Schizosaccharomyces pombe: one gene and its partners. Changing the gene in region 3 together with the main gene of any one other region gives a genetic interaction. Each region holds a gene or a part of one and is shown on either strand. Other genes may lie near its edges.

Evidence for each region.
Region 1: mutations in ani2 (region 3) and SPOM_SPCC1020.07 together harm fitness less than expected from each alone (positive genetic interaction), as found in Schizosaccharomyces pombe (one large-scale study listed by BioGRID).
Region 2: mutations in ani2 (region 3) and cyb502 together harm fitness more than expected from each alone (negative genetic interaction), as found in Schizosaccharomyces pombe (one large-scale study listed by BioGRID).

The regions. Positions count from the first base shown.
Region 1 is NC_003421.2:769,775-774,017, reverse strand, and holds SPOM_SPCC1020.07 (pseudouridine-5'-phosphatase), read left to right. Parts: upstream 1-2,054; 5' UTR 2,055-2,292; coding exon 2,293-2,325; exon of another isoform or gene 2,326-2,496; coding exon 2,497-2,539; exon of another isoform or gene 2,540-2,604; coding exon 2,605-2,667; intron 2,668-2,724; coding exon 2,725-3,296; 3' UTR 3,297-3,743; downstream 3,744-4,243. Other genes in the region: tal1 (transaldolase), read right to left, coding at 1-520; wybutosine biosynthesis protein Tyw1, read left to right, coding at 3,966-4,243.
Region 2 is NC_003423.3:2,574,088-2,577,282, forward strand, and holds cyb502 (cytochrome b5), read right to left. Parts: upstream 1,379-3,195; 5' UTR 1,342-1,378; coding exon 1,194-1,341; exon of another isoform or gene 1,010-1,193; coding exon 856-1,009; exon of another isoform or gene 808-855; coding exon 735-807; 3' UTR 576-734; downstream 1-575. Other genes in the region: Ragulator-Rag complex subunit Lam1, read left to right, coding at 1-6, 50-127, 190-400; SPOM_SPBC2G5.01 (Ca(2+) binding protein), read left to right, coding at 2,534-3,195.
Region 3 is NC_003424.3:4,326,491-4,330,102, reverse strand, and holds ani2 (FKBP-type peptidyl-prolyl cis-trans isomerase), read left to right. Parts: upstream 1-1,634; 5' UTR 1,635-1,731; coding exon 1,732-2,820; 3' UTR 2,821-2,956; downstream 2,957-3,612. Other genes in the region: dolichyl-diphosphooligosaccharide--protein glycosyltransferase Ost1, read right to left, coding at 1-999; SPOM_SPAC27F1.10 (uncharacterized protein), read left to right, coding at 3,310-3,612.

The DNA of each region.
Region 1 (4,243 bases), on a different chromosome or scaffold from region 3:
AGGTAACGTTAGCCTCGGCGCAAGCAACAGCTTGGACAAAAGAGAACAAGAGAGTCAAGTTGCAGTGGATGCCCTCTTCCTCGAGTTGCTTAGCAGCTTGGATACCCTCATAGGTGGAGGCAATCTTGATGAGAACACGCTCACGACCAATGCCCTCGGCTTCGTACAACTTGATGAGGTGACGAGCCTTCTCGATAGTAGTTTGGGTGTCAAAAGAGTAACGAGCATCAACTTCGGTGGAGACACGGCCAGGGACGATAGCGAGGATCTTGGTACCGAATTCGATCAAAAGACGATCAAAAGCAATCTCAATTTGAGAGTTGATGGAACCACCCTTTGCCTTGGCATAGTCAACAGCAGCGTCGACGAGAGCAGCATATTGGGGCTTCTTAGAAGCGGCCAAGATGAGAGAAGGGTTTGTGGTGGCATCTTGGGGTTTGTATTTGGCGATCGATTCAAAATCTCCAGTATCGGAGACGACAACAGTGCCAGTGGCCTTTAATTGTTCCAATGAAGACATTTTGATAAAACTACCTCAAAAACTCGTTAGTAAATACTTTTTCCAGACAAATAACTTCGTTTTTCCTAAAAAACACTACAAACATACCTTTTCTGAGTTTCTTGGTGTTCCTAAGGATATAGGTTCTGGTTAAGTTGTGTGTAGCGTGGAAACTTCCACTTAAGCATTTTAGGTACGTCAGCCAAAGTTTCTTTGAATTTGCGGAGAACTTAGCAATGTTTGTCTAGATTTAATTGATTGCTTAAGCAGATGAAAAACTTTCGATTTTACTATAAAATTTCAGAAGAAAAAAATGGAAGCTGCAGACTGTGCTCAATGCATTCTTCACCATCGAAAGTATAGGAAAAGTCGAAAAAATTTATGAAAAAGAAAAATTTTAAAAAATGGTCGAAATCAGATTGTTTTTTTGTTCCAAATTGAAATATATAATGTCAGTAATCTAAGAAAAATAATGCGCTGGTCGCAAGCGGGATCCCGAACAAGATATTGAAGAGATTGACATGACTGGGCTGATTGCAAGTAGTGCCTTAAGGTATGTATTAATGCTAGAACGTTACAAGTATAGTATTGGAAATATTTTGTTAATTGGCACATTTCTTTTGTTTGGTTTGAGCGACATGACAGCAGCAAGTTGCTGCATCGGACATGATCGATGTTCGCACAAGTGTTAAATAGTTGGACCTAAAATTGAATACATATCCATGGAAAACTCTTAAATTGGTAAAAGCATCTGATACTCTTTGGATAGGTATACTCTTCTACCTACACTCTTGTCGATTCGAATTGCCTCTTACAGTAATACAAATGAGATTAGCTTCTAAGGTATCTACAGTCTTCAGAAATGGTCAAGTTCGTAATTAAAAAGGCTTGGTTTTAACCTGTTTATGGACATTGTCTATATAATCGTCAGCGAAATCTTCAAGCATAGTGTGAGATACACCTGTATACCCATAGTTGACGAGCAGATAATCGTAAGGCCTTTTATTTGACTTTCATTACTTATTATTACTTTAATCACTTTTTAAGTAATTTTCTTCAAAATAAACCACCGATATCTCACTCGACATTTAAAAAGAGCTATCTGTATATCCACCTGATGACATTCCATAGTCATCGAGTACAGCTTTGTAGTTTTTCAATAAGACACCCATTCCCGTATCAATTTTACTTTCAAACCACCTTCTGTAACATGTTTCCGGTCAAGTTCAAAGTCACACGTGAATGAATTGTTTGTAGACAAATAAACATCCATAAACTGAGCTTGTCGTGTAATAGGAAGAGAGTCGAGTAAATTCAATGTCATTGCACTTTATAAACTTTCTTCTATTTTTTTCTAGTTTCTTTTTATCTTACCATAACATTATCATTTAGATGAATCAAGTTCAATCCCTGACTCAACAAATTCGCCAACTTTACCTCTCTTTACACTCATTATTTTCAAGCAATTCTATTTGCAAGTCCAAAAGCTTTCCTAATGCCACAAATATTCTATTTCTCACCTTTGCCTAAACAATGGCTCGTCTTGCAACTTGTCAACTCCACGTTTGACTACTTCTAGCAGAATTTATTAAGGACGACTGTGATTGTCTAAACTTGAATTATTTGATAAGTTATCGTATATTCATCTCATTCCCATTGCTGCTTTCGTCCGTATACTGATCGAAATTGGTTTCATTCTGTTACGAATAGTATATATCCTTTCAACAATATCTTTCTTCATCGTAGAAAAACAAAGACATTCTTTTTATTAAAACCCTTACTTTACTTTAAAGATGATTCCTGAGGCGTGTCTTTTCGATATGGACGTACGTACATAGTAAAATAATATGGATCATTTACGGCGTCCATGATCAACAAATACAATATTTATTATCGTTTATTTGTTTTTCATTCTACTTAAAAGTGCTTAGCCTGATGATTCCTTAAAGCATACTACTTGAAAAGCGATAAAGTGTCCTTCTATCTAACGAATACAGGGCTTGTTGGTCGATACAGAGTCAATCTACACAAAAAGCACTAGTAAGTTTTACTCTTCCTTTTCCCTTTCTGTTCAAAGGTATTGGTTAGGCTAACGGTGCGTCTAGATATCATTTTAAAGCGCTATAACAAAGGCCCCTTCTCCATGGAAGTCAAGGCTAAGATGATGGGTAAGTGGCTTTGAGCTGTTGTTGTTTTTTTCAACCTTCTAATCATTCATGCTTTAGGCCGAACTTCAAAGGAGGCCAGCAGAATCTTTTTGGATTGGTCGGGTATTGATTTGACCTGCGAAGAATACATAGCATTACAACGTGAAACTCAAGCTGAACTATGGAGGCATACAAAGCCTTTACCTGGCGTTATGAATTTGTTAAGTAAGTTGAAATCACTAAACATTCCTATAGCACTAGCCACTTCCAGTGACACACACAACTTTGAAAAGAAGTCCGCTCATTTGAGTCATTTGTTTGATCATTTTGATGGAAACATTATCACTGGAGATGACCCTCGATTACCCGTCGGTAGAGGCAAACCTCACCCAGATATTTGGTTCATCGCTTTGAAGATGATCAACGACAAGCGCAAGGCTCAAGGCCAGGCAGAAATCCTGCCAGAGAACTGCTTGGTTTTTGAAGATTCCATTACAGGAGTTCAATCAGGCCGGGCGGCAGGCATGAAAGTTGTGTGGGTTCCTGATGTCAATATTCTTCCCTTTTTTTCTCTTTCTCCAGAACAAGCTGCGGACAAGCATATAACAAAGGTGCTAAGCTTGGAGAATTTCGATGTTACAAAGGTATAGTTGAATTGGTTTCTTTCTCTTACTTTCTTCATTTATCGCTTTTGCTTTATATCTTTTTTTTTGCTCTTTATTTAAGACGCAGCATGCTAGCTGCATTATTTACTTTTTATTCTTCGTTTTACTGATATATTCCCATGTCGTAAAATCTTTAAAAATGAACTCTCATCAAACATTCCAAATCTTTTTTGAATACTTTTCACAAATAACAATCATTACAAAGCCCTCATCCTTGATTCTTTCTTCAATCGTTTGAAAGTGTCTCATCTCCAAGTATCATTTTCACTACGTCTAACACTAGCTATCTAGCAATTTTTCTAAATGTTACTACACATGAGGTATTTTAAGAGATATTGCTTTTCTTATAGTTTGATTTTCAAGAATGTTGACTTTTACAAAAAGTACCTTTTTGGCCAGCACTCCATCATTTAGATGAAAGCACTTATATATTAATAAGGTAAAATTAATCATAAAATAAACAAATAAGTAAAAATTTTAAATTAATTTAAAAGTTCATCCTTCATTTTAGTACTCTCTAGCTGGACTTAGTTCTGTTGGCGCTTATTGGTGAAATTTGCCTGTGTCTTTTCCATATGCCACACCTCAAAGAATCCTTTTTCCAACCACCAAGGATACTATTTCTTTGCTAAATTCCAGTGGTAAATCATTGCCATGGGGTATTCTTTGGGGTACATCGGGGAGCATTGGGAAGAATACCGGGCTGTATTGTACATAGTCTTGCTGCTGCCTGTACTGATCCATTTTCTGATTCGACGAAAAACCCAATTGTCCAATTCAGATAAATCAAGCGAGAAAAAAGATGAGGTAAAGAAACAGAGAGAAGTTAAAAGGTTTAAGCGGGTTGGCAAAAGGGGAAAGATCGGTTCGCCATCCTCTTCCATTCGTAAACAAAATGATACTATTGATTGGAAAAACTCTCCTCTTTGTGT
Region 2 (3,195 bases), on a different chromosome or scaffold from region 3:
CGCAAAGTATGAAGCCTTTGGTATCTGTTTCTTTGTTAACTGAAAATAGAAATAAATTCATTGACGTCTTTTCTTTACGATTGAGAACCGAAGCACCTCAGCGAGACCCTCGGGACAACATTTATGAGTAAGCTTTTGATAAATTCTTTTTATACAGTAGAAACTATATTAACATAATGATTGCGATAGGGAGGTATTAGATCAAATCGACTCATTGAATTTAGATCCAAAATACGATGTTGCTAAACCTACCGAGCAGGAAACCGAGTTTATAATAAGGAAACTAGGTGTTTTGATTGATGATATTAACAACATTAAGCTGAGTGATAAAGAAATCAAAGGAAAGATGGTAATCAATTTATCTAAAGTCCAACCGAATATTACTGGAAGTCCTTCATAAGCCCAATAGAACTAATTTTTCCATTAGTTATATTCCACTTCTGATTACATACTTCCCTCTTTACTATTAGCTAAATCTTTTTGTTATACTTTTTTGGTTTGTTTAATATCTCCATGAGTTAATTACATGTTACGAGCTGAACTCATTGTTTTTAAGAGCTCTCTTACTGAAGGAAGACATTTAAGAAATATATTTTTCTAAGTTAACGTTTATTTTGTTTCTTTAGAAGCCTTGAAAACAATTGCTATCCATAATAATATTGAGTGATACTAACATCGCGAAAAACAAAAGAAGGTATAAAGATTAGGAAAATAAATAGGCAAGCCTTCGAAGTTTATTTGTTAAGCTTAACAAACACAATTACTGCTATGGCTGGCAGGACAATTAATGCGATTAATAGAGGCAATCTGTTCTGTTAGCATGAAACAACCATCGTACACAAATCATTTTCTTACGGAGGCGTATCATTATCAAATGAACGAGGTTTCTTTAATTCTTTGAGTCTCTCCTCAGTTCCGGGTTTTAAATCACCAATATACATCTCTTCTAGTAACTCATCTGCAGCAATAGAGTGTCCAATGTCCTGATAGGCCTTAGTGGCGTCCTGGCCTAAAACAAATAGTTAGTGGACATGTTTAAAAAGCCGTATACAATGTTTTAATCAAGAAGGCACACAAGTGAAGAACTGATGAATGAAACGATAGCGATTAAAAGTATACTATCGCTTTTGAGCATAGCAGTCTCCAACATAATATGGTGTTTACTTCTACAAAAGTTTTGTCGAATTATTTACCTGCATAGTCCAACATTATATCTAAGCCTCCAGGATGATCATCAGCAAAGTTACTAACGTCGTAAACTTTTCCATTAATGACCATGTACATGTCTTTGGAATTATTGTGCTCCACAATCTCCTCAGGTTCAAAGTATTTCACCGACATCTTGATAAATAAATCTATATAATAAAAATCGTGTGTTGAGGGGAGTTGGAAAAAGTTTGCGAAAGTTTTGATATCGCTAGTAGAGAAAATCTCACGTTAGGGTATCGTGTGGTAGTAGTAAATAATCGAACAAACGAGCTCAAGGAATTTATTTAGCAGCCAATGATAGGCAAAGCGGCATGTACAAAATTCTGCCAGATTTTCTGCTTAACCAAAAAGTGGATAGGAATAATATTTTTTTACCAATAAACAATTATTGTTGAGGTATGGAGGATTTCTCATTTATATCTTTTTATCTATAATGATCTAATAACGATAGATCTCAATATCCCTCGCAACTTTGATACAAGCTTAATTTAGCTAGCGTTAAGCTTATGACATTCTTCAGTAACGGTATGTTACATGTTTGAAAAAAAAAATATGTCCTAGGTATAAAGTACAACAGGGTGACTAGCTTCCTTTTATTTGCTTTGTTGAGATTAACCGATCGTATACGTAAACAAGCAAGTACAAAATGACTTTCTTTTATATAGAACGCATGAATGTAACTAAGATTTTGAGTAAATGCGTAGCAGTTCGTACAACTATCATTTACCAAATAGATAAACTACTACCTTTGAAAATTGTAACGCCATATAGTTTCTCTGTCGGATATATTCAGTTGAAAGCACCATTCATTGCTAATAAAACACCAATAATTACAGAACCGATCTAGTAATATACATTTAGACCAACTGAGCTTCTATGCTTGTTTGTCTTTGCAGACTGTTTTTGTAACTTTTGCAATAACAAGCTGAAGTGCCAGTACAATATTCTTGAGCATCCGTTAGCTATCTAATTTTGCTTCACATATAGCAACTAGAAAAATAAAAATAAGTAAAAAGAAAAAACCTCAAAATTATGTTGGATATAACTAGTACAAAGTGTTTTCTCCACGTCAAAAAAAGTGTCACGAACCGGGATCGAACCGATGACCAACAGATCTTCAGTCTGTCATGCTCCCAACTACACCATCGCGACATGTTCTGGTTACCGACTTATTTTAAACTATCTATATACACTAGTTAATCTTCCCACTCTAGGAACCGGCTTGTCTCGTTCGTTACTTATTTCACCACGTTCAATCTCACTTCGTACAACCAGTGCCCTTTTTTCTTTCACGAAAGTCAGTAAATTTACAAGCGGAGGAACCATGATTAATAAAAAGCTTTTGTTTCTAGTTTTTGCACTAGCTAAAGGAGTACTGGCTGATGAGGAAGATGAATACGAAGAGGATTACAATATGAATCCCGAGTTGGAGAATCCAGGAATGTTCAAGCATGTCGATTGGAGAGATTTCCGTCTTGAATTTGTTATTCTTGCTTGTTTTTTCCTTTATGTTTTTTCTTTTATCACGCAAAAGAAGAAAAACCAAAAAATCGCTTCTCGCTGGTATGGTTCCTTACAGTCTAGCTTTCGCCAACAGTTTGCACAATATGGACCAGGTCCTAACAGTTCTCCAATCATTTATGACTCTCCTACCGAGTTTAGCTCCTATCTTACTGGACGTCTCAACGTGAAGAATGTGTATACAACACTTCAGCTTTTTCCTCGTCAAGATTTGTTAGCCTACTCTCTTAATCAAATCGTTGAAATCCTCCTGGGAAACGTTATGTCTTCTGTTTTACCTGTTGCTGACCGTTTTCAATTCGATTTAACTCTTGCAGACCAGAACTTGAAGGCTGAGCGTTTTGTTTTCGCCATTGTTCATAAAGACTGTATGCGCATTCTTCGTGAAATACGTTACGACTTAAGCTTTACCCGCATTTCTTCCTCTCCTTACTTACCGGAAACTCATGTTTTAATGTCTGAGAA
Region 3 (3,612 bases):
GCGGAACTCCTCGTAAGGCATTTTCCAATCCAATTGGAACAAATAGTTCCATCCCCCAAATACAGGATAGCGAGGATTTAACTCGATCCATGTCTGGTGAGGCTCAACTCGCATATGAGATGTGGTAATGTTTCCCACCTCATCGGTATAGTAGACATCCTTGGAATTTCTAGGAAGACTATAGACGACTCGATTAATAGCAGTAGAAACTGGATTGTAAAAGTTTCCCATATACCACTTGGCACGATCGAAGTTGGACTTCAGCTTGGCAGCATGGTTTTCAAAAACCACACGCTCCGAGACTTCTAACATTTTTCGGTATTCATGCATATCAATTTGAACATAGAGATCAGCTCCGCGAGGAATAGGTACAGTATGCTCATAGCGAACATAGATTTCACCTAAATCATTGTCCTCCCCGGTGATAGTCTCACGGCTTTCGTAAACCAAAGTATTGCCAACACGATTGGGAAGTTCAGCTCCATCAATATTATACGTAGTATATGTGTCAATTTTAGCAGAAGGGAGTATAAGACGAGTGCGTTGAAGATCAGTAGTGTAGGGACTATCTAAGTAAAGGGTTGTCAGGTAAACCAAATATTGTTCTTCGTCTTGATCCACAGCTGCTGGTAAAGGACGAACACCACCGTCCAAACCTGCCTGTATTAATAAAGTACGAGATTCACCAGGTTTGACAGGAGGTTGTAAAGGAATATCATAAACATTGTTGTTAACTTTTATAGGGTTAGTTCCTTTCTTTTCTTCCTCTTTTATCGATACGGAGAGAGACAAGACACTTTCGCCAGGTGAGGTCTGCTGAAAGTAGCGATATGTATTTTGAGGCTCATCTCCTTCATTTACAATAATTAAAGAAGTGAGAGTTTTGGTATAAGTGGAGCGTAAATCAATCGTACGAATCGCGTTACTATTTCTCCATACCTGCTCAGCTAAACTGAGCCCAGATATGATGGACCACAACAATAGCTTGAGAACTAACATTTCTGAAACCCGCAACCAGTGAAACTTGGAAAGCTCAACACTGTTTTAGAATAGGTAATAAATGAATTTATTACAACCTTGAAAAACGCTGTTTACAGATAACCTTCAAGAGGCTATGCGTTTAAAGAGCGGTAATACGTTCAGGTTAGGTTTGCCAGCCCAAAAACCAACAATATGCACAACGTAGTGTGTATACACTCGTTAATATCTTTAATGACTTGGTGGACTAGTTCGGTATACACATTCCGATTAAAAAAAATTGTTAAGTAAAATTAGATATTCGAATAAATAGTAGTTTCTCCGTTAAATTAATGCTAAAATAATTATGTTCCGTTCTTGAACTTTAAAGAAAATTTTCACAAATAACCAGGCTTTTTCTCTTTGACTACTAAGATCACGAATGAAGATGACGGCGACTTGCTATTTGAGTATTGGTAGTAAAGAACGAAAGTACATGAAGATTAACCCCTACTGCTAATTATTTGTACCTTTTAAAATTTTCTATTGAGAATGCATCAAACTGAAAAACGCTTCTAACGCTTCCGTTTTGGTTCGGTAATAATAAGCTTATGAATAGGCGAGATAACATTACTTAAGGCGTCATAAAGGTTTGCTACTGGTACAATTTTTTCATCAACACTTACTCTACTCTGATATACCAGTGGTGAATTTCTGTGATTCCCATCGTCTATTGCGTATCTTTTTGGATTTTATTTATTCTAAATAAACAAAATGAGTAAGGAAGAGACCCTTTACAGTGTTAAAGTGGATCAGGAGCGTGTTCCTCTTTTCGATGAAGACTTTTATAAAGGCTTTCGTAGCGAATTATCTGTTCGTTTTACGATGGCAGCTTTGGATCCTAGAGCTAAATCAAATGATGCCGTTACAGTAAACGTGATCACTAGGCTTGAGCACCCCGAAGAAGATGGAGAAGAAAGTGACGAAGAACTTTTTCAAGAAGAAAAATTTACCCTATGCACCCTTAAAAAGGGCTCGGTTTACCAGCAACCAATTGACATTATTTTCTCTCCTGGAGAAGAAGTTTTCTTTGAACGAGTTGGTGGTGATATTCCGGTTTATTTGAGCGGAACATGCATAATTACAAACATTCCGGAGGAGGAGGATAGTAGTGACCTCGAGAATGACTTTCTTTATGGAGCAGATGAATTTAGCAGCGATGAAGAAGAAATGGATGATATTTCCGTTACATCAAGCGAAGAAGAAGAGGAAGAAAATGGTGCTCGTATAGAGGAGTTGAACAGTGACGAAGAGGATGCCGAGCAAGCAGAAGAAGAGATTTTAGAAAAGCCTGTTCCAAAGGATGAAGTTGCTGAAAAGCATTCCAAGGATAAGCTTAAAAAGGAAGAGAAAGAAAAGAAAACTGCTGTCGACGTATCAGATTCTGTGAACGGCAAAAAGAGAAAGACCGAACCCGCCGGTGAAGGAGAACAAACTGAGAAGAAATCTAAGTCTACAAAAACTTATCCTAAGCAAGTACTTGAAGGAAACGTTACGGTTCAAGATAAAGTTAAAGGTGACGGACCAGCTGCGAAGCGCAAAAAGCGCGTTTCTATGCGTTACATAGGTCGTCTTACTAACGGAAAGGTATTTGACAAAAACATTACCGGAAAGCCCTTTACTTTTAATCTTGGACTCGAGGAAGTGATAAAAGGGTGGGACGTTGGTATCGTGGGTATGCAAGTAGGTGGAGAACGTACAATTCATATTCCAGCTGCCATGGCCTATGGCTCTAAACGTCTTCCAGGTATCCCAGCCAATTCAGATTTGGTTTTTGACGTAAAGCTTTTAGCGGTTAATTAATTTTGTGTAGTTTGGTTCATAAAAAAATTATGGTTTAGTTGGGTCTGGAAATTACGGAATAGCAAATTTTTTGAATATTATTCGAATTATTTTGAGGTAAAGTAAGCACTCTAGTAGAAATATGTATGTTACTGAGACAACTAATTGGTCGCAGTAAGGTGAGGATCTTGAGCACTCTTTTAAACTGATGATAGAATTAGATGTGTGAGCAATAATGGGCATCAGAATAAATAAAACACTTTTTTTATTAGTCGTTGTCTTGAAACATGAGTGAGGGAAAGCACAATCGCTACTAGTTATCTACGGATATTTGGTGGAGCCACTAGAAAATTTTGTATTTGTGAATTTATTATATGAAGAAGGCTACTAAATACTCTTATTCCCTCAATTTTTTAATTGAGATTTCATAATTGGTTTTCGCGATATCTCTCATGTATTTTATCTACTGCAAGTTGATTTAGAATAAAAAAAGAAATTATACATAGTAGGATGCAATTAACTGGATCGATCTACCCATGGTTTACTGCGTATGCTTTATTGAAATCCACGCTGATGGAACTCATCAATTCGTTTATACCGTACAAATCTCAAACTGGAAAGGCACCAAAGTGTCTGGTTCCTTATTGGCTTTCAATTCGTCTAAGTTTACTTTACTTTAAATTGACAGAGGCGATATCATTTACCGAGAAGTGCGAAAAATATAATATTAGCTTATTTGATTCAACTTTTGTATTTGGCTATATCGTTAACTGCTTTTTTATTATTCATTTAAACACGTTCCTTACATCACAG